Linked DNA regions of Drosophila melanogaster. The protein of the gene in region 1 purifies or fractionates together with the protein of each later gene. This does not show direct contact. Each region holds a gene or a part of one and is shown in the gene's direction. Other genes may lie near its edges.

The links.
Region 2: the proteins of ZIPIC (region 1) and eEF1alpha1 purify together in Drosophila melanogaster (affinity purification with western blotting, with the first as the bait; one study listed by BioGRID). This does not show direct contact.

Annotation. Positions count from the first base shown.
Region 1 is NT_033777.3:30,034,633-30,038,897, reverse strand, and holds ZIPIC (Zinc-finger protein interacting with CP190), read left to right. Parts: upstream 1-2,027; 5' UTR 2,028-2,096; coding exon 2,097-3,470; 3' UTR 3,471-3,658; downstream 3,659-4,265. Other genes in the region: janA (janus A), read left to right, coding at 1-35; janB (janus B), read left to right, coding at 260-311, 370-525, 583-707, 769-858; ocn (ocnus), read left to right, coding at 1,253-1,463, 1,518-1,642, 1,698-1,808. UniProt on the Drosophila melanogaster protein: Insulator DNA-binding protein. Recruits Cp190 and cooperatively binds to chromatin promoter regions to exert transcriptional regulator and chromatin insulator functions.
Region 2 is NT_033778.4:11,889,314-11,896,183, forward strand, and holds eEF1alpha1 (eukaryotic translation elongation factor 1 alpha 1), read left to right. Parts: upstream 1-1,821; 5' UTR 1,822-1,931; intron 1,932-2,082; exon of another isoform or gene 2,083-2,152; intron 2,153-2,808; exon of another isoform or gene 2,809-2,871; intron 2,872-3,809; exon of another isoform or gene 3,810-3,882; intron 3,883-4,228; exon of another isoform or gene 4,229-4,241; 5' UTR 4,242-4,261; coding exon 4,262-5,653; 3' UTR 5,654-6,207; downstream 6,208-6,870. Other genes in the region: ERp60 (endoplasmic reticulum p60), read right to left, coding at 1-76, 1,358-1,506; MCPH1 (microcephalin), read right to left, coding at 6,812-6,870. UniProt on the Drosophila melanogaster protein: This protein promotes the GTP-dependent binding of aminoacyl-tRNA to the A-site of ribosomes during protein biosynthesis.

The DNA of each region.
Region 1 (4,265 bases):
ACTACACGATCGAAATCTCCGATGAGGGATATTAGCTGCAATCAACGAGAGAAGACTCCACATAAGCACACTGACATGAATTTATACCATTGGCTTTGATCCTGTGTGCCATGATTTTATTGGAAATGGCATTTAAAATTGAGAAATGCTCTGAAAGGCAGTTAGTCTGTAGCTTTGCAACTGCTCGCACTAAACCTTTTCGGATCTAAATTAATCAGTTTGTACACAAATTTCGTTTCTTTTCCTTTGGTTAAATAAAATGAAAATGTTCAAGTCATTGCGTCTGCTTCCTCATATTGTTTCTCCGTTTCGTAAGGCTTAGGAATATTCAATATTAAGATTTACAAGCCCTAATATACTTGGTTTTAGAAAAATGTTACTCAACCGATTTGATAAGTTTGGTAGGCGTTCCCCGGGTCAAGATAACCAAGGGTCAGAATCGTTATTTGTTGGTGAATATTCATACGCATGGCTTCACGAAGTATGGAAGAGTTATTGTCCGTGGCGCCGATGTTGACAATCACTGTGAGTTTCCACTGCTGGACGCTTAACCTTGAGCAGTCTTACAAATCCTTCTTTCAGTGGCGGTCTTCGACTCGATTTTGGAGGAGCTGGAACCCGAGGGCATATGTGCCAAAATCCTCGGTGGTGGAAGGATTCTCAACGAGGCAGAAAATAAAAAAATTAAGATCTATGGCACCTCCAGGGTAAGTAGAGGATCCTTGGTCCTTGAAGCACCGGCTAATGGTTCTTGATGGGTCTCCCTAGACTTTCGGCGGTGCTGATCACACAAGGACAAGGAATATACTTCAAGCGTGGACCACTTATAAGGACTTTAAGATAACCGTTAAACAATAAAGTTGCATAAATTTCGAAAATGGAAATTCAGTACTAATAAAAAGAAAATAGAATATAAAAGTAGCGCTCTTTCAATATTATTAAGGGGTAATCGAACAGGCGATTGTAATTGGCGGAATATGGTTGATATTTCCATTTCTGGAGAGAGTAGAAAGAAGAGTAATTTTGCATTTATAGTTTAGTTCATACAAAAATTTCTTTCACAAGATACAAGGGCTTAGTACTTTTTGAATGATCACATGTGCTCCGATTTTCGTGTCAGTCTTGAATTTAGCATACGACCGGAAGGCTTCTGACAAAATCAGTCTAGCTGGAGCCTTGCTACCGTTCATACCAGTTTCTTTTCGGAATATTTCATCTAAATTCCAGTGCGTTTTCCTAAAATTTTTCCAAAATGAAAACCTTGAATCTTTTGGCACCTGTTTCACAATTGTTGAAGCCCCTTCGAAGGCAAAGTTCTTCGCGCGTAAACGCCCTTTTGATAAATGTTCCTAGAGTTCAGCTTTCTAAAGGCAAGAACAAGTACCTTTTGATGATGATTCACATGCACGGTTTAACTAGGTTCGGCAGGACCATTGTAAGAGGATCCGCCTCCAAGGACCACGGTTAGTTCTAATAATCAGTATAGCTAATACGTGTTCTAATCGTTCTGTCGCCAGAGGAAATCTTTGAGGAAATCCAAAAGGAGATGGACAAAATTGGAATTTGCGCCAAATGCCTGGGTGGAGGGTTCATCAGCAACAAGGAGGACAAGAAAGTAATGAAAATTTACGGGTGCTGCAAGGTAAGTGGATGAAGTTGGCTACGATCAACCTGATTACTAAAGAGACTGCCTGCAGACTTTTGGGGAGGCGCCGCACGGCAGGACGAAGGACATACTGCTGTCTTGGACCAAATTCCAGCATTACAACATCATCTTGCCCAAAAAGAATCTGAACGCGTATCAGTGAAGGCGTTTGAAAGCTTGTTTTATTTTTCCTAACTGCCCTGTTGGCAATTTATAATACAACAAAAAATTAGTAAATACATGGCTACATATCGATTTGTTTTTTCGCTGGGTGTTACAAATTTTCAGCTTTTGATTTTGAGTTTCAGATCTGCTTTGTTGGTTAGCAGCCAAAGTTCAAATTTGGAAATTGAACCAGATCACATCGTCGATAACCGATAGCTGTGCAATCGGAGCCTTCTTCAGGGCACGGTCACACTGCCCCGAAAGTGTAAATAAATTTCAATCAAATATGAATTGCTGCATTTGTCAATTCTCGGTACGCGTACCGAAGGACATTCACACCGATACCGTCGGACATCCGCCGGTGCTGATCAGCGAACTGGTACTGCAGTGCACCCGGGGCACGAATTACGTCCTCACGGAGGAATCGTCGACGATCTGCAAGAAGTGCTGCGAGAAGCTCGCCAGATACCACAAGTCCATACAAATAGCGCGCAAGCTGCGAGGGGAGATCCTGGAACTGATCCACAGTCCCTACATGTCCAAGGACCACAAGCAGACCTCCTACAAAGAGGACGATCTCGACCGAGAGACCACCATAAGCAAATTCGATGGGAATATTGAGGAGGCACAGCAACAGGACGAGGAGGAGCAGGAACTGGAGAGCGTGGGCACCACCGTCACCCTGGTCGGTCCCGCCGGCATCGTGGAGGAAGTGGCCGAAGAGGAGCACACCTTCATTATCAAACAATCAGAGGAGGAGGATGAGTTCCACTCCGTAGACTTAGAGCTAGATATCGACAACGAGATTATCATTAACGAAGAGGAAGCCCACGAGGTAGAGGAGGTGGCCCACGAGATAGAGGAGGTGGCCCACGAGATAGAGGAGGAGGATCTGTTGCCACATGACAAGCAAGAGGCCCAGGAGGAAGACTTTTTTAAGGAAGATACCATGAGTGACTTTGACGAACATCTGGACGGCGCAATAGAGTACATAATATCCGATGGCGAGGACCAGGAGCAGGACAACGAAAGCTCCGGCGAATACACGGTCAACATACAATGCCCCAGCTGCCCGGAGAAGTTCAGCAGCCGGCGCGCTTACAATGTCCACACGAAACGCGAGCACTTTCCCGGCTACGTCTGTGATCAGTGCGGCAAGACGCTGCAATCGTACTCCGGGTTCATAGGGCACCTGCAGAACCACGAGCCCGTGAAGCAGTTCGCCTGCCCAGTGTGCCCGGAACGCTTTAGCCGCAAGTTCCGGCTGAAGCACCACATGGCCTGGCACTCCGGCGAAACGCCATACCAGTGCGATGTCTGCTCCAAGCGATTCGTTCACAAGGTGGCCCTGTACAAGCACAAGATGATCCACGACAGCGAGACCAAACGGCTGGAGTGCCAGGTGTGCGGCTTCAAGACCCGGACCAAGGCTCACTTGGAGCGGCACATGCGATCCCACACGGGGGACAAGCCCTTCGCCTGCCCGGTGTGCAACAAGCGCTTCTCCCAGATGTACAACATGAAGGCCCATCTGCGGGAGCACGAGAGTCCCGGAACCAACCGCCATCGCCGCTTCCACTGCTCCAAGTGCACGCATACTTTCATCAACGAGCAGAACTATGATGCCCACGTTCAGAGAGACGACTGCACGCCAGTTTAGCCCACTATATTGAATATATATAATAGATAATTATATATTGTGTAAGGCCCAACCCATCATCGACCATCATCGTGATCACCACCCAACCGAATGCAAGCGAAATCATTTGGATCATTACGTTCTATCCATGTACTTTTTTATTAAATCTATATGCATTTTGCTCACAAATAAAATATGTTTGATATAATAAATTTATCCGTTACTTGCATATTTCTGCGGTTATTTCAGTTTTCTTAAAAAAATATGTATAGTAAGTGTGTGTGTATGCATTAACTTATTTGAATAAATCAATCGATCGACCTCGTCCGTTCCGGCCAAGGGCCAATAAACCACCCACCCATTGTATTCCAGTATTGGTCGCTGCTGGACTGATCGAGCCCCAAATGAAATGTGCCTAATGGTAGATCGGTAGATGCAATTGACGCAATTACAATACATTGTATAAATACATAAAGTTAAGTGTGTATGCTGTGCTATAGATATACAAAAATAAAACAGATTATCTTTTGATTTTTTGTCGAGTTGAATAGAACTTTGTTAATATCATCATATCATCATCATAAAATGCACATTACAAAAATATTAACAAAATTTATTGCAGGCAGTCCGTAGTTAGTAAAAGGTAACAAACAAATCCCAATCGAGGTAAACCCATAAATCTTCCTAATAATGTGATTTTGTGCAGTAGTTCCTAAAGATCTCAGTCCCTGGCTGCGGGACTGAAACGCTTTTCGGACTCTGAACGTACGGCCGCCAAGGTGTGAACATAAAGAGGATCGTTCTCTCCTACCAATA
Region 2 (6,870 bases), on another chromosome or scaffold:
GATTGGCGGATCATCGTCTTTCACGATCTCCGCCGCCTTGGCGTACTCGGGCTTCAATCGCTTGCAGTGGCCGCACCTTAAACAGGAAAAAACACTCTGTTAGGACACGTCACTTAAACATTATGTTGGTAACAATACTATCTAATTCATCATTTGTTATCAAGGCAACGGGAAGACAAGTTCCCAAAAAACTAGCTTGTAATTAAAGTAAGGGTGCTGGAATTATCAACTGTCTTATCACACAAGTACAAGTGCCCATTAGGCATACAGAGAGAAAAACGACTTGGTACTTATTTGAAACAGCAGAGTATAGTCTGCACTCTTAGCAGTGCAGATAATAATTCATTTTTGATAAAGATAAGTGATGCCTTAAGTTAACTATGTTATAATGAAAAGAGCAGTTTTATTGCAGTGTACAACTTTTTCAACTTCATCCCTGTGTATTTATGCTTGAATACTGATAAGGTTCGTCATGAGGGAATCAAGTCTCCATGCCAAGTAGTTCAACAGCTCTTTGGGGATTTCGAAAGCCGGCCGGCAAAAAAAACGCTAATAATTTACCTAGTTCATTGTCCAAGTGTGAGCTTATAGTTTACCCCTGATAATGGGCAAACAAATGGCTCAAAAGAGAGTAAATAGGCACAGTAAATATGTGTTATGTACTAAACAAAAATGTATTAAAAGGTTATTGTGTTCAGTGTGGATTACGATGGAAGTTAAAAATGTGTCTACTGACATGAGAAATTTATAGCACAATCAGCATAACTTTTGTGAGTAGGCAGGCAATTAAAATTGAAGTTTTAATATGGTTGGTGTAAACTGTTGGGAAATTACATTTGTATGAGAACTGTGAGTGTTTCAGACTATGATAACCAGTTTCAAGCTAAATCTAAGTTAACCCTTAGAATTACACATTCCTGGGATTATGGGTATAATGCATAGGCATAAGAAACTATAATAAAAGATGCGCTATGTACACTGGGGCCCCTATGCCTGCTCACTATCATTAGCCAGTGGACAAGTGGAGCAGGAATTGCACGGAAATTGTACCAACTAGGCACTTTGGCACCCCGCGCTCTAAAATGGCCGACGGCACCAATACTGGCATATCATCATTGCCCCTCTCTTTGCGTCTCGTTTCGTTCCGTCACTCGTTCCTTCTTTATTTGCCGGCAAAAGCAAGGCAAACGCTGACGTGTACTTTGCGCTTGCGATGGCCGGAAAATCGGGCATCGGTCGGCACTGGGCATTGGGAATCGAATTAAGTTGCGGACGCAACAAGCGGATTATACGCGAATCGCACACGCAATGCATTTGTTGTAGGATGGCGCCCGGCCACGCCCACTCACTAACTCACCAGGGGGCGTAGAACATGACCAGCGTCGTCTCGTGTTGTTTTAGGGTGGTGGCAAAGTCGTCGTCCCCCAGTTCCAGGACATCCTGCTCCGCTCCGGACGAGATGGCGATGAAGCCTAGTAGGAGCACTCCAGCAAGGCGCCACATCATTATTTGGGTTCACTTGAAGCGATATCGGTGAATAATTCAAGTTCAACTAGGCCGTCGAACGCCTACTTCTACAACAAAAACTGAGTACCGGACCGGTTCGGTATTTTTCAACGATTGAATTCGCTTTTTGCCTCTTTCGCCACGTCGCTTCTTATTCTGTTTCGTCGTAGTGTGGCCAGGTGGGGCTAGGCCGAAAATGTCTAAAGTTGGAAAAAGCTCTCAGTTGTGAGCTTTCCTGCATATGTAAACAATAAATAAAGATGGCTCATCATTTATTAATGACTAATGTCTATATGTGTGGGTTTTAAATGCTTTAGCTATAATTCTTTCCAGTCACACAGAAAAGTTGAGATCTAGATTTAAATTAATTTAATTGATACCGATTTATAATAAAATTTTGTCAAATTATCATTTCATAAAAGATGGTAATTGCATTTATTGTTAACTGATTTCGCAAGCATAACAATAATCATATTATTAATAACTAATTAATTAATTTCACAAAATTAGGAAAACACTTAGGAACTTTTAATTGCGTCCTATATAAGGGGCAGGCTAACAACTTTTGTTCTATGCACAATGAATAAATTTATTGAGTACAAGTGAAAACTGAGTGAAAAAATAGTCTAACAAAAAATATTAAGCAGTAAGTTACAAATTCAAATAAATATTAGCATTCTGATGAATTCCAGAAGAAAAAGTATTAAAACGTGAGATCTTAAGTTATAAATTTTTACAATATTGTATAAATTGATACAATACCAAATTACTTATAGTTTTATTTGTAGCATATTTTAGTTGTAGCAACGGACGCCAAAAAATGTATAAATAAATGAAACGTATTACATAAATTTAAACGATCTCAAGCTTCTATTGTTATTTAAAGTTCTATTACGTTAGGGTTCACATACAAATTAAAGTTCAGGTTCTAGTCTAAAAGTTCAAAATGCGGACTACTAATGCAATTGTTATAGTTTTTAAATATTAAGAGATATGTGTTCCAATATTACGTATAGAAATTATAGACATCGTTTTGTAGAAAATATTTTTGGAATCACTGATTATTTAGTTTTTCATATAAAAACAATGTCGAGCAAACAAGGTTTTTTAAATCCCTCAATCGTTAGGTTATTGTATTTTGCCACTTTCAATCACTTAAATTTCAATAAAATGAAGTGCTTCATTCGCGCGTAGTGGAAACACCGCAGTGAGAACACGGTTTCTGCTCTTTTGACAGTTGCGTAGCTTCGGTCACACCATGTGTCAAACGAGGCTTCCTGTGCTGAGCTCTGCCGAACGCTCGTTCACTTTGTTCGAATCCGTCGCCGCTTAGACTTCGTGATTTCTCATTCAGCTTATTCGAGAGTAAGTTTTACCTGCGAGGCTATAATTAAGTAATTTCTGCAACGGGACTGCAGCCAGAAAACAATTTATAAACAAATATGCAGCTGAGACGCCGAATTTGTGCATATTTCCAGTGTTTTTCCTGTGTGTGTGTAATAAACCCGGAGATAACCTCTAACTGCGGTTTTCCAAAGTGAAAGGTGGCCATAGAAGCAAACACGTGGCAAGTCTGCAAAGGCAAAAATTTTAACTGGCGTTCCCAGTTAAAGTTCCCAGCATTCTCAAAATAATTTTCCGGCTTTTCCGGCCGCATTTTCGCCCTGCAATATGGTGCACTTAGTGTGTAATTACTTTGCCACGCCCACGCCGGACACAGAGGTCATCCACCAGATGTGCTCATTAACCGAGAAAAAAAAACGTGCTTTCTCTCTTGCCTTTGTCATGACCTATAGATATTCCTTATTCTTTCTTTTTGCGGCATGGAATTCTAAAATGGCGACCCAGTGGCGTGAGTCAAGTGGGCGAAAAAAATTCGCCTGGCAACAAGCGAAAAAATGTGCTTTTTTGGGTTTCCAGCCCATTAGCATATCTGGTGAAATGGCACTCGCATCAGCTATTTCGCCATTTCCAACCGACTCCATAATTGGTTTTGGTAAAATGGCTGCCGCTGCACTACGTTCTTGAATAATTCGTTGTGTGCCCCTCTCTTTTTCATTTCTTTCCAATTACCAATTGTGCCACCGCGGCGAGATCGCTTGCATTTGTACAAGTCACACACGCACACTAATGCACATCCGCCATTTTGGTCTCTCTCTCTCTCTATTCCTCTCTTACTTTTCCTCCGGCCGGCAACAGCGTCACACAAATACACAGGCATAGATATACACACGCATAGGCAGATAAGCACATGTGTATTTGCGAATTAAATTTGCTGGAATTTTCCTTTGGACTCTTCGATTTAACATGATGATGATTTTTCAGTTCTGCTACTGAAGACAGTTGACGAAAGCAAAAATACCAAAATCACTGAAACAAAATCGAGTTTCCATATGGAATTTTATTTGCACGCTCTTTTCTGTAGTTGCGCCCCACTCGTTTTACCCACACCCTTACATGCGGGCACTGGACCTAACCTCAAAAAACACGTTTTGTACGGCTGCAAGAGTTTGAGGTTAGGTTGTGCTCGCGCATGCAAACAAAAGTCGAACGTACGCTAGGGAAATGAGAAAGTGTTATACCCACTAATAATTGTAGTTGTAATCCCACCGAATGCTAACGAATTGTTTTACCCTTTGTTTATTCCAACCTCTCTTGCTCGCCAACCCGCCGAACCCTGCAACCTTCCAATGTTCCAACGTTCCGTCAATCCAACACTCGAATACACACAACAGCCATAGTGTAATCATCCAACATGGGCAAGGAAAAGATTCACATTAACATTGTCGTGATCGGACACGTCGATTCCGGTAAGTCGACCACCACCGGACACTTGATCTACAAGTGCGGTGGTATCGACAAGCGTACCATCGAGAAGTTCGAGAAGGAGGCCCAGGAGATGGGAAAGGGATCCTTCAAGTACGCCTGGGTTTTGGATAAGTTGAAGGCTGAGCGCGAGCGTGGTATCACCATCGATATCGCCCTGTGGAAGTTCGAAACTGCCAAGTACTACGTGACCATCATTGATGCCCCCGGACACAGGGATTTCATCAAGAACATGATCACTGGTACCTCGCAGGCCGATTGCGCCGTGCTGATTGTCGCCGCCGGAACCGGAGAATTCGAGGCAGGTATCTCGAAGAACGGCCAGACCCGCGAGCACGCCCTGCTCGCCTTCACCCTGGGTGTGAAGCAGCTGATCGTTGGTGTGAACAAGATGGACTCCTCCGAGCCACCATACAGCGAGGCCCGTTATGAGGAAATCAAGAAGGAAGTGTCCTCTTACATCAAGAAGATCGGCTACAACCCAGCCGCCGTTGCCTTCGTGCCCATTTCCGGATGGCACGGCGACAACATGTTGGAACCCTCTACCAACATGCCCTGGTTCAAGGGATGGAAGGTGGAGCGCAAGGAGGGTAACGCTGACGGCAAGACCCTGATCGATGCCCTCGATGCCATCCTTCCCCCAGCCCGTCCCACCGACAAGGCCCTGCGTCTGCCCCTGCAGGATGTGTACAAAATTGGCGGTATTGGAACAGTACCCGTGGGTCGTGTGGAGACTGGTGTGCTGAAGCCCGGTACCGTTGTGGTCTTCGCCCCTGCTAACATCACCACTGAGGTCAAGTCCGTGGAGATGCACCACGAGGCCCTGCAGGAGGCCGTTCCCGGAGACAACGTTGGCTTCAACGTCAAGAACGTGTCCGTGAAGGAGCTGCGTCGTGGCTACGTTGCCGGTGACTCCAAGGCTAACCCCCCCAAGGGAGCCGCCGACTTCACCGCCCAGGTCATCGTGCTGAACCACCCCGGTCAGATTGCCAACGGCTACACCCCCGTGTTGGATTGCCACACCGCTCACATTGCTTGCAAGTTCGCTGAGATCAAGGAGAAGGTCGACCGTCGTTCCGGCAAGACCACCGAGGAGAACCCCAAGTTCATCAAGTCTGGCGATGCTGCCATCGTCAACCTGGTGCCCTCTAAGCCCCTGTGCGTGGAGGCCTTCCAGGAGTTCCCCCCTCTGGGTCGCTTCGCTGTGCGTGACATGAGGCAGACCGTGGCTGTCGGTGTCATTAAGGCTGTCAACTTCAAGGATGCCTCCGGTGGCAAGGTCACCAAGGCCGCCGAGAAGGCCACCAAGGGCAAGAAGTAGCTGGTTTGCTTCCACTCAACAACAACAACAACACGCAGTAGTAGCAGCAACAACAAGCATATAACCAACATCATAATGCAGCCAACAACACCACTCAATAATACCAGCAACAGCAGCAGCGAACACAATAGTAGTATAACACCAACACCTGTCCTGCGCAAGATGACCGATAAGATGATGTTTCAGCAGAAGCATAAGTTTAATTTCTTCCATCGAAAGGAGTTTCGACGGATACGAATGCTAAATGCAGACGAGGCCGCCTAAATTGGGAAACGGTGGATCCCAAGGATAAGAGTGCACACTGGGAAAACACTTGCATTTATGCATCCACTCCTCATCCACTTCCCCGTCGATCTTTAGTTTACTAAATATGGTATGATGCACGGAGTTGACTTCGTTTTATCATATCATATATAGGAATCCTCTGTAGCATTTATGATATCGTTTAAATTAACCTTTATACTTTGATATGTATCATTTATCTTACCCTACTTTTGCACACACTACTTTGTACACAAGAAAAGAACCAGAATAGAAGCGATAACTATATTTACAAAAAAAATAAAAACCCTATTTTTGTATTTCTTTTGTTTTTACCACCCAGCCCGTAAAAGAGCACTCTCTTTGCTTGTTGCCTCCCGATTTTCAGCGCCATGATCGATCGTCCCTAACTCCAAGTTCACTTATCGTCGATGCCACAAAGTACAAACAAGAGCTAGTCGAAGAGTACAACAATTGAATCTGACAACAAATACCTCAATCGTTTAAATAAAGCAAGCAATTGCATCTGAAGAATAATGAATATTTTTTATTGTATTTGAGGGGGGGGGGGGGGCTTTTATTTCTCATCGCAAATAGAGAAAAATGCATTGATTTATTTATTTAAATAATAACGAACGAAGTTGGAACAAGTGTTTTTTTATAATTTCTGTTTAAAGTTATGGGATATATTATTTCCTTCGTAAAATCTGTATAAAAACAAATTAAAAAATGTACTAGAAAATAAACTAAGATCGTAAAATACATATATGGATTTAAATATAACTATATTTACATTGGAGTAATTTGCACAAAAAGGTGAAACAGTGTGGGAAAATGGTACTCTGTGTGTCCTAGCTTAAATATTTAGTAAAGTGAAGTGGATGCACCCACTGATCTCTATTTGTCCAGCACAAACGGTGGATCGACGAAGTCGTGAAGGTGCCTTCTTTGTGTTT